Linked DNA regions of Coturnix japonica. The protein of the gene in region 1 interacts with the protein of each later gene in a pairwise test. Links are inferred from orthologs where the notes say so. Each region holds a gene or a part of one and is shown in the gene's direction. Other genes may lie near its edges.

What was found. The genes of interacting proteins can lie anywhere in the genome.
Region 2: the proteins of DRG1 (region 1) and RWDD1 interact in binary tests that used the Homo sapiens proteins (3 or more experiments, as listed by UniProt). The two-hybrid records come from large-scale screens. The link is inferred for Coturnix japonica from reciprocal best matches to the Homo sapiens genes DRG1 and RWDD1.
Region 3: the proteins of DRG1 (region 1) and ZC3H15 interact in binary tests that used the Homo sapiens proteins (3 or more experiments, as listed by UniProt). The two-hybrid records come from large-scale screens. The link is inferred for Coturnix japonica from reciprocal best matches to the Homo sapiens genes DRG1 and ZC3H15.

The regions. Positions count from the first base shown.
Region 1 is NC_029530.1:7,969,755-7,973,928, reverse strand, and holds the start of DRG1 (developmentally-regulated GTP-binding protein 1), read left to right. Parts: upstream 1-1,366; 5' UTR 1,367-1,477; coding exon 1,478-1,519; intron 1,520-1,622; coding exon 1,623-1,746; intron 1,747-3,221; coding exon 3,222-3,397; intron 3,398-3,761; coding exon 3,762-3,831; intron 3,832-4,174. UniProt on the Homo sapiens protein: Catalyzes the conversion of GTP to GDP through hydrolysis of the gamma-phosphate bond in GTP. Appears to have an intrinsic GTPase activity that is stimulated by ZC3H15/DFRP1 binding likely by increasing the affinity for the potassium ions.
Region 2 is NC_029518.1:58,028,201-58,031,719, reverse strand, and holds the end of RWDD1 (RWD domain-containing protein 1), read left to right. Parts: intron 1-253; coding exon 254-316; intron 317-1,142; coding exon 1,143-1,255; 3' UTR 1,256-3,459; downstream 3,460-3,519. UniProt on the Homo sapiens protein: Protects DRG2 from proteolytic degradation.
Region 3 is NC_029522.1:5,371,767-5,374,466, reverse strand, and holds the end of ZC3H15 (zinc finger CCCH domain-containing protein 15), read left to right. Parts: intron 1-264; coding exon 265-455; 3' UTR 456-2,186; downstream 2,187-2,700. UniProt on the Homo sapiens protein: Protects DRG1 from proteolytic degradation. Stimulates DRG1 GTPase activity likely by increasing the affinity for the potassium ions.

The DNA.
Region 1 (4,174 bases):
ATCACAGTAAATCCGTTCACAACATGGAACCAACCTCTCCAGAGGTCCCTACCAGCCCCTACAACTGCATAAGCCTTTCTGAAGCTTCATAGAGGGTGCTCTTATAAACCAATACACTACAAATACTGAACTACTTCAAATATTCAGACCAGTTAGAAAATGTTTGTTGTTGTTGTTGTTGTTGTTTTCTGGAAAAATAATAGGGCAAATGATCTCAATGAAACTTTTACTCCTTTCAACACTGATAGAAGTTTGTAAGTGCCTCAGGTCCTTAGAGGACCTTTGCTTGAATAGCTCTCTGGAAAAAAAAAAAAGGATTTAAGGTTGTGTACTGAGCAGTTTTGTCTTAAGAATGTCATTTATTGACATCTCTGCTCATTCATCCCACACTTGTAGATTTAATTTGACACAGTAAGTGAGATCTGGAGTTGGGCTGTGAAAACAACTAATGCCATTGCTTTAGCCCTGCAGTTATCAATACCTTCTGCAAATACAGAGGCAGTCTGGTTAAGCATCCCACATTTGCACTTTTCTTCATGTTTTTTCCTGTTACCAAACAGGACTACAAATGTCAGGGACTAAAGGCTGAATTCAGCTATGGATCAAACAAGTCAAATTCCAACTGAAGTGAGAAGCAAAAGAAATTAACGGCAGTGCTGAACCTGCTGCGTCCTATGTTAAAAGCCAGTATTGTTCACAAAGGAATAATTAGAATTCCATGAACAAACACACGGCGGTAGGTGCACTCGTATTTACCCTGGCTTACCTGAGCTAACATTACTAGGAGCTCTAATCCCACTTTATTTGAGATTCTATTTCATTAAGTTCTACATAAGCTCATATTAATGACAGTTCCAACTGTAACGGAGCTCGTGACGTGAAAGATGGCTTTTTTAATTCACATGGGGCGGGAAGGAGACCAGGAGAGGAAGAATGAGAACAGAGACCTGTGCAAGGAGCTCTCCCTGCTTTACTTCTTACCGTAGGTCAACGTATAACAATTCCACAAGCAAAGCTGTGGTAAAGTTACATTCTGGGTGCTGCAATTCTCAGAATCCCGGCTGGCGGAGCAGGTGGTTGTGCAAGCATCCTTTTAAATGCCTCTATACAGTGCGTGGCACAGCGTGCTTCTTATTATAAACCACGTTCAATTTGACATGTAGATATATAACGTGAGAGCAAACGCCGGCTCTACGCTCCGCTCCCTCACTCCCGCTCTCCCTCACACACGCTCCCGCCCGTCCCCTCACGGCGCTGCACACGGCACGCAGCAGCGCCCCCCTCCGGCCGTGCAGTGCAGTGCCGTGCGCAGAGCAGTGAGCAGAGCGCAGCGCTCCGCCCGCCGCTTCCCGCCCACAGCTTCTCGCGAGAAGCCGTTGTGCGCCTGCGCGCTGCCGGCCGGGCCTGAGGAGCGGCCTGAGGCTGCGGTGCGGTCGGTAGTTGCGGTGCGGTCGGTAGGTCCGGGTCCATCGCCGCCATGAGCGGGACATTGGCGAAGATCGCGGAGATCGAGGCTGAGGTAACGAGCCGGCGGGGTCCGGCACCGAGCCGCTCCGTCACGGGGCGGGGGGATCCTGCAGGGCCCGGCGGACGGCTGAGCCCTGTGTTCCGCGTTGTTGCAGATGGCCCGCACGCAGAAGAACAAGGCCACGGCGCATCACCTGGGGCTGCTGAAGGCGCGGCTGGCGAAACTGCGCAGGGAGCTGATCACACCAAAGGGAGGAGGAGGAGGAGGACCGGGGGAAGGTGCGTGGGACGGGCTGTGTTATGTGGAGTGTGCTGAACGGAACTGGGTGCTGTGTTATAGCCCTGTCCATAGCAGGGTGTTGTGTTATAGCCCTGTCCATAGCAGGGTGTTGTGTTATGGCCCTGTCCATAGCAGGGTGCTGTGTTATGGCCCTGTCCATAGCAGGGTGTTGTGTTATGGCCCTGTCCATAGCTGGGTGCTGTGTTATAGCCCTGCCCATAGCAGGGTGTTGTGTTATGGCCCTGTCAATAGCAGGGTGTTGTGTTATAGCCCTGTCCATAGCAGGGTGCTGTGTTATGGCCCTGTCCATAGCAGGGTGCTGTGTTATGGGCCTGTCCATAGCAGGGTGCTGTGTTATAGCCCTGTCCATAGCAGGTGTTGTGTTATAGCCCTGTCCATAGCTGGGTGTTGTGTTATGGGCCTGTCCATAGCAGGGTGTTGTGTTGTGTTATAGCCCTCTCCATAGCAGGGTGTTGTGTTATGGTTCTGTCCATAGCAGGGTGTTGTGTTATAGCCCTGTCCATAGCAGGTGTTGTGTTATAGCCCTCTCCATAGCAGGGTGTTGTGTTATGGCCCTGTCCATAGCAGGGTGTTGTGTTATGGCCCTGTCCATAGCAGGGTGTTGTGTTATGGCCCTGTCCATAGCAGGGTGCTGTGTTATAGCCCTGTCCATAGCAGGGTGCTGTGTTATAGCCCTGTCCATAGCAGGGTGTTGTGTTATAGCCCTGTCCATAGCTGGGTGTTGTGTTATGGCCCTGTCCATAGCAGGGTGTTGTGTTATGGCCGCTGATCCACTAGCCAGGTGCTTGATTGTTGATGGCCCTATCCATAGAAACAGGAGGTGATTGTGTGTTATGCCCTTGTCCATAGCAGGGTGTTGTGTTATAGCCCTGTCCATAGCAGGGTGTTGTGTTATGGCCCTGTCCATAGCAGGGTGTTGTGTTATAGCCCTGTCAATAGCAGGTGCTGTGTTATAGCCCTGTCCATAGCAGGGTGCTGTGTTATAGCCCTGTCCATAGCAGGGTGCTATGTAATGGCCCTGCCCGTAGCTTGGTGTTGTGTTATGGCCCTGCCCGAGGCCTTGAGTTGAATCTGAAGAGTAAATAAAAGAACTTCTGCGTTTTGGTGGTATAACGGTGTGTTTGCAGAAGTCTTGAGGGTTTTGTGTGAAATGGACGTCTGTGCCCACATACAAAGGTGTGTGTGTGTGTGTGTTGGGGGGGGGAAGCTGCAGTGCTCACACAGCAGCTGGGTGAAGTGCAGCCCAAGTATCTGCGGTGCTCTGCTCTGCAGGCAGGTGGTGAATGGGGCAGTGTGCAGTGTGCGGGCTGGGTCCTGCTCTTAGCCTGTCAGGAAAGCTGACCTGTCTGTCACTCGGGCAATATTAAAACTAACGGTGATATGGCTCTGCAGAGCTGTAGGAGATGAGGAAATGGCTTTAGGTGCTTTGTCAATTCTTGTCATTTCCTTGCAGGTTTTGATGTTGCAAAGACAGGTGATGCCCGCATTGGGTTTGTGGGTTTTCCATCAGTGGGAAAGTCTACTCTGCTCAGTAATCTTGCTGGTGTCTACTCCGAAGTGGCAGCATATGAGTTCACTACACTAACTACTGTGCCTGGAGTCATTAGATACAAAGGAGCAAAGATACAGGTGAGATCTTCTGGTGTCTATGAAGTTAAGACTGTATATATAGATATAATGGTATTAGGACAGAATAGAATAGAATTTATCTGTAAAAGTGCTCGAGAGTACATTGGAAATGTTTCTGTGAGGTTCTAATTTTATTCTGCTTTTCTCTGGAGAACAGTTCCAGTGGTAGTTCTCATGCTCTGGTATTATCTATTCCATAGGAGTAACACTGTATGTAGGAATTAAAGTGGAAATAATTTTGCTCTTTGTCTTGTTAAGATGTGCAGTAAATTCAGCAGCTTAAGAAGAAAGGTACAAATAGATTTTATCTTAAAGAGAAACATTTGTTTTTTCTCATATGTCCCTTTCCTTTCCTGAACAACAGCTACTTGATCTGCCAGGAATTATTGAAGGTGCCAAGGATGGAAAAGGCAGAGGACGGCAAGTCATTGCAGGTGAGTGTAGTGCAGCTTGGAGGCAGCATCCAAAGCTGGTTCAGTTATTATGCCTTATGAGAATGGCTGAGTTTCTGCTCTTGACACATTCATGAAGCTGGATTGTATGCTGGAATTCAGTTGCTCAATGTGAAACATTAGCCATTGTCTTTTTCCTTTGTTTCAGTTAAATTCAGCAAACCTAAAGTCATATGTTGACACAGCCTTGAAAATCTGCTACCAATTTTAAAGGCAGATGAGAATCTATTAAACAAAGATGCTGCTTTGTCATCTTTATGTAGCTTATTGTCATCCTTGTGTGTCTGAATGTAGATAGAAAGGAAGGTTTTTCCAGCATCTTTGG
Region 2 (3,519 bases), on another chromosome or scaffold:
TCTTCTGAAGGCTTTTGAAACCTCTGGGTAATTTTGATCAAACTTGATAGAAGTCTTAATGGTAGTAAGTCTTGTGAAATCTGTACAGAATGCTTGATTCGCTTATGATTGGAATGTGTTTGGGCATCTGAAAAGAGTCATTTGAAATCTGACTTCTGTTGTTTTTTTTTTGTTGATATTTTGTTGGTTTGTTTTTATGTTGGTAGTTGTATAAACAAACAGCATTTTGAAATGTATACATTTTAACTTCTAGGGAAACAGCTGTTTGAAATGGATCACAACCTTGATACATCTGACATCCAGTTCTTAGAGGAAGGTAAGTTTCTGTTTCTGCACCTGGAAGACAGTGGTTTAAAACATGTAAAAATTCCTAAGCAAAGTCTGTATTATAATTCTGACTAAAATCTCATGTCAGTGTCACTTTTAATTTTAAGATGGGTTATTGATAGAACGTTTTCCTGCCTTGAGAAGAATAGACTTCGCATTTGAATTTGGGCTCTGTTCCCAAGTTATGGGAACGTAACTTATAATGTTAACTTTTAATCCTGTCACTATCTGTTATTTAAAAACTCCTGCACTGATCAGTGTTGTAATTTTAAATTGAAGTTGTTAATAAATAACACTGATTTTTGTAGTTGCTACAATCTAATGGTGTTATCTAGATGGAAGCAGTTATAAAAGGCTCCTTCAAAAGCAGTGAAAAACAGAACCTTGTTCAGAGGCCAGAAGATGTCGCTATTGATACATACAAATAAAGTAGTGGTTCTGAAGTTTTGCTCTTAAGCTTTGTCTATTTTAGAAGAAAGTATGAAAGCATAGAAAGCCTCATCTTGCTTTTAAATTTTAAACCTAATATATATATATTTTTTACATATCAGTGCCTCTCTGAAGTAGTTGTCTGCCTTTCAAATTTTCTCCTGGAGAGAATTTAAAGGATAATTCTATGTGGTCTGCTGTTATTTGCTGCATGTGTGTATGGTACACACACACACACACACACACACACACACACACGTATTTATTTATATATAATGTGCATATACATGCTGTGCTTTGTACTTTTTGTATTCTGAGACTGTATTTTGTTGTTCAGGTACTTTTTTTCTCTTTGTGTAATTTCTTTTTTTTCTTTTTTTTTGTAGCTGGAAACAGTGTGGAGGTTGATGAATCTTTATTCCAAGAAATGGATGATTTAGAGTTGGAGGATGAAGAAGATGACCCTGACTACAACCCTGTTAATTTAGATAGTGATTAGATTTTTTTGGAACCGGCCCTGTCATCAGTATGGACTTATGTAACGAGAGAGAGGCAGGCAGAAAAACCACAGCATCTGTGGTTGTAGTAATGTGTATTGATTTTCCTTTTTTCAAAGAAAAAAAATATTTTACATCTAGGAGTATGGTCTTCTGATGACTGTCATCATAAATAAATCGACTAATATTTCACATGAAAAACTTGAGGCATACTCTTCTGATTATTATTGTTATTTTTTCCCTCCACTTCTTTAAGCGTCCTCAGAAGAGAAGCGACAACAAGCAAGAAGGAAAGATGGCATGGTGATTGTTAAACACACCTGCATACGGAAGCTGAGTTCTACTGTCTTCTTTGTAGGATATGCATGGGAAAGCGTATTGAATAGAACGGTTTACGTGCTATGCAGGTTTTTTTTCTTTGAAATTTTATAATGCAATAACTGACAGTCATTTCTGATACCCCAAATTATTAGCCGAATAGCAGTAGATAGGCAGCACTAGCCCTTTTTTAATAAGGCATAGCATTTTTAATGTTGAATGGAAACCACTTACATATTAGAGTGAAATTTTGTTTGCCGCAGCTTCAAAATGAAATGGTTGATTTTAAAATGGTTGATGTGTTTAGAAAGCCTTTTTTAAAGTTCTTGTGAATCAGTGAACTGAAAAAATAATTTGCTTTCGGCAACAGTGAATGTGAGAACACTGTCAGAGCACAGAAGGCAGTAATAGTATTTTACTTCATTCCTGTTCTGCTTCCATTTGTGGTTGCTGAGAGTTTTTTTGAAGTAGATTGTTGGCCATCTGTGAAAGTCTTAGCATAGTAAAGTTAGCATCCATGAGTTGCTGGGTAGCATGTTAACCCATCTGAAGAGTTCCTTGTGGAGCTACTGGCTTTATGTTAGACTCAGCCTCCCTTCAGACCTCCAAAAAACCTAGAACACTGAAGAAATGTGTGTAAAGTGTTTGGGACTGTGTCAGGTGGATGAAGGTTTCAAAAAGCAGCTCTCTGAACAGATAACTGCCAGGCACCTTGATGATTAGAAGCTTTGTGCTGGATTTTAAAACACTTCTGGTAGATTGCCTTAACTGCTCCAGCTTCAACCATTTAAAAGAGAATTGCACTGAAGTATCTATGCTTAGAAGACTAATGGATTTATGAACTTCAATATTTGGAAATTTCTTGCTCACAATAAGGAATTTGATTTCAGAAATAATATAATGATGTTTAAGATTCTCAGCTCATGCCATTTGAGAGCATCTGTGCGGATGATCTTGCATAACGTTTCAGTAGTCTTGTCTTTTTATACTCAAGAGGAATAAATAAGAGTTCCCAGTAGATAGAAATAAATATTAAAGTACCCTGTAAATGGTTTTATAAATGAACCATGTGCCTTTGTTCCTACCATCTTCTATTTGATGTTTCTAGTTTTGGCACCTCAGAACTTGAGACAAGCACCTAAGTTTCAGTTGTAACATTGTATGTTTCAAAGCAATAAGGAGGATCTGTGTTCCAGCAGGTATTACCAAATATATTTAAAAACTTGTAAGCTAATGTGATATTTAAAGTCTTGTCTCTTCCAAAGATGAAGTGGGATTGAAAGGTTTGTAATAACTGTGTCCCGTTTCCTGTGTAATTGCTAGCACGCTTTTAAATGATGTTTAGCACAGAACTTCATTTTCTTGTGTGTCTCATCAGCCATGAGAGAGCCTCCCAATGTTACTTTCAGTTGTCACTTTTTTTTTTGGCTAAAAGGAGTGTATTTTTCCTAAAAGCACTGAGTAAGTTCTCTTCAAATCTGAACTGAATCCAAGAATGCTGTATAGTCTGTGCAAAATAGGGATAATCTGAGAGAGTTTTCTAAGTGGGTCACTGGTGATACAAGAATCGCATCAATGTGAAAAAGAGCTTCTTAATACTTTCTAGATGAATGGGGTTTTCTGTTTTGTTTTCACACTGTGTTTATTGGTTTTTATGCAAAGATTGTGTAGCTTTAAGAAGTAATAACTGTGAAGTTCAAAGTATATTTTCATTGCTACTTACATCTTTTTTTTTTATCAGCAGAAATATGGGTTGAAATGACAAAAAAATTTCCTCAAGTCCATTTCTCCAAGTCTTTGAAACAAGTTTCAGTGACTCAGTCTAAAGTTCTAATTTGTTTATTAGCAATTAGCGTTTGTGAAATAAAAGGTAATTTTACCGAGTGGACTTGGGTGTATCTGTATGACTTTGTTTCCAGAGATGGAGATTGATCTTTTTATTTGTTAT
Region 3 (2,700 bases), on another chromosome or scaffold:
AACATTAATCCCTACCCTGTTATAAAAGTTGGGAGTTGAAGTGTTAGTTATTTGATTTATTGGTTTTGTCCTGTTCTAGTAACTAATGAGCCAGCCCTGCATTTTGATTGGGCATGTGCACTTTAGTCTATATGAGCTAGTATAAATATATATGTTAACTGTTAACAAGTGATGTTGCAAAACTTCAGAGCCTGTTCAGTATGATGTTGAATTAGTGGTTAAGGAACCTGTGACACTAAGACATGTAACAAATTGTGTTTTCAGACAATAAACTAAGTGAAGCTTCTGGTGGTGAGATAAACAACAGTGAACAAATTGATTCTGAAGGAGATCGTGATGGTGATGAGTTAGAAAATGGAGCCATCGATGCAGTTCCTGTTGATGAAAACCTTTTTACTGGCGAGGACTTGGACGAACTAGAAGAAGAACTGAACACTCTTGATTTAGAAGAATGAATTAAAAAGCTCGAGAGGAAATTAAAATTGATGTGATAAAGTGCAAACTGACTATGCTTTTTCTCCTTTTTGAATAGGATTCTTGAATGGGATGTTTATGGTTACCCAGCTGATTCTGATGGGCATGTCATATACCAGGATGACTTTACTTCAGTCTCATCTCCGGTCTTGCTATGATCACACTAAAATACTCAGAATAGTTCATAATAACCTGGCAACTGAATCTGCAGTGAATGGTATTATAAAGTCACTTGATAGTAGGAAGTGTAACTGCTTTGCCAGTATGCAAATGTAAGGGGAAGTTGGTACCAGGTACAGTATGAAATAAAAAGTAAACGTTCTTGACCGGAACTGCATTTTTAATAGTGATTGTGTTGATTTAGGCACTGCCTGACTAGCTTTTTCGCTGCGCGCTCTATAGAGGAGCTGATGCAGGTCACTTTTCTTTATGTGTTGATTAGCTTTATTTGATCAGCTGGATACCGAGGATACAGACACTGAATTGATACATGATACAGTACAATAAGGTGCCCTCTGTTTAAAATGGCCTTTTGCCATGAAAACTGTAAATAAAAACTATTGACTTTCAAAGGCCCGTGTTGATTTTTCTATGCTAAATTAGGATATGACAGCAAATGGGTAGTAACATAATTTTCTGTTACAGTGATGGATGCTTTCTCTCCAGTCCTCATGAAGTGACTTACGTCGGCTTAAATTCAATTAGGGGTAGTGTCTATTTGATGCTTTTCTTTCCTACTCTTCACGCAGTGTGTCAGATTCAACAGCTGACTTCCCCTCCTGCTCTCATCTCCCACCCATCCATTAACAGTTGTAATCCAAGCTATACAGTGCCCGTTTTGGATCCAGGCTGATGCTTTCCCTGCTGTATGTTAGGTAGGACTGAGCTCTGTGGAGCAGGGGATGTTACAGTCTAAAAAATGCCTGTAATATGTTGGTAATGCGATGTATTATGTTGGGTACTCTTGAAGTTCTGTAGCCATTACATTTGGCTGACAGCAGAGCTGTGGATGTTGCTGTGTACCCTGCAGGGGGCAGCTGTTGTCAGGTTTCAACCATGTTAAGGTGCCCTTTGAAATTTATCAAAACCTTACCATAACGATGTCTATCGAGGTGCTTTTTCAAGGGGGCTGTAGGTTATGCCTCAATGCTGTACTACTAAGAATCTGTAACAGTACTGTTGTTCTAAAGGATACCGTTTATATGGCCATTTTTCTAAAGTTTTCAGGTTACTACTTCAGGTTTGTTAAGCTTCATGGCGTTGTTAGCGAGCTTACTCAAACCACTGTCGAGTGGTAATAGGAGCTTTAATGGTTATTTTTGACACTGCTGAATCAACTCTTGTATCGTTAATGCTATATCTAAAATAGCTGACCTACACTTTTTTTTTTTGCCCTTTTTGGGATCTTTGTGGTATTATTTTTGTCTTACAGGAACAAGAAAGTATTTGGGGGGGAAGAAAGGATCTACTGAAATGGACTCCTACATGTAAGTGTTCAAGGATGAGCTGCAATATCAGATAATAAATGTTAATTTCTGCAGAGTTTTCTCTTGTGGCCATAAACAAAGTGTGTTGACTGTCTTGTATTATACTGGCCAGAAATCGGCTGTTTGGTTATCAGGATGCTTAAGAATGCAATTCAAATTTGAATGTATTATGCATAATTTTTCAAAGTTGTATATTTTAAATGGGAATAAACTAATTAATAAGGATGGAAATGACTATGTTTTGTCTGGGAGGTTGCTATGCAGTGCGTTAAACTTATTTCTGCCATCTTATCTGGTTTGGCTGATGTTAAAATGTTCGATCTTAACAATTGCAACTACGTTCTTAAGTCAATATAGTTCTACAGGTTAACTCATTTCAGATGAGGATGCATCAAGATCAGTGAGCAGGATGTGCCCTTTTTGAGTGTAAAGAGTTCAATTGCAATGCAAACCCCTGCTATGCATTTTAAAAGTATTAGGATTAAGTCACGTTGCAAACTATTTACGTAGATTGAATAACCATGACTTAGTATTTAACTAAATCATTTTCCTTAGGCATTCAATTTGGATATAACTGTATGTGGTTAGGAGGCTGCTCTGTTTTATACTTAGTTTCTCAACTTATTCTTGCGTTTTCACAGAGTCCACTTGCTTTTCTGTTGGCCTCCTGGCTGTGCTCTGTATAGATCTCTAACCCCAAAAGCAGGATGGCCGCTTCTAAAGATTCCTTTGGGTAGCG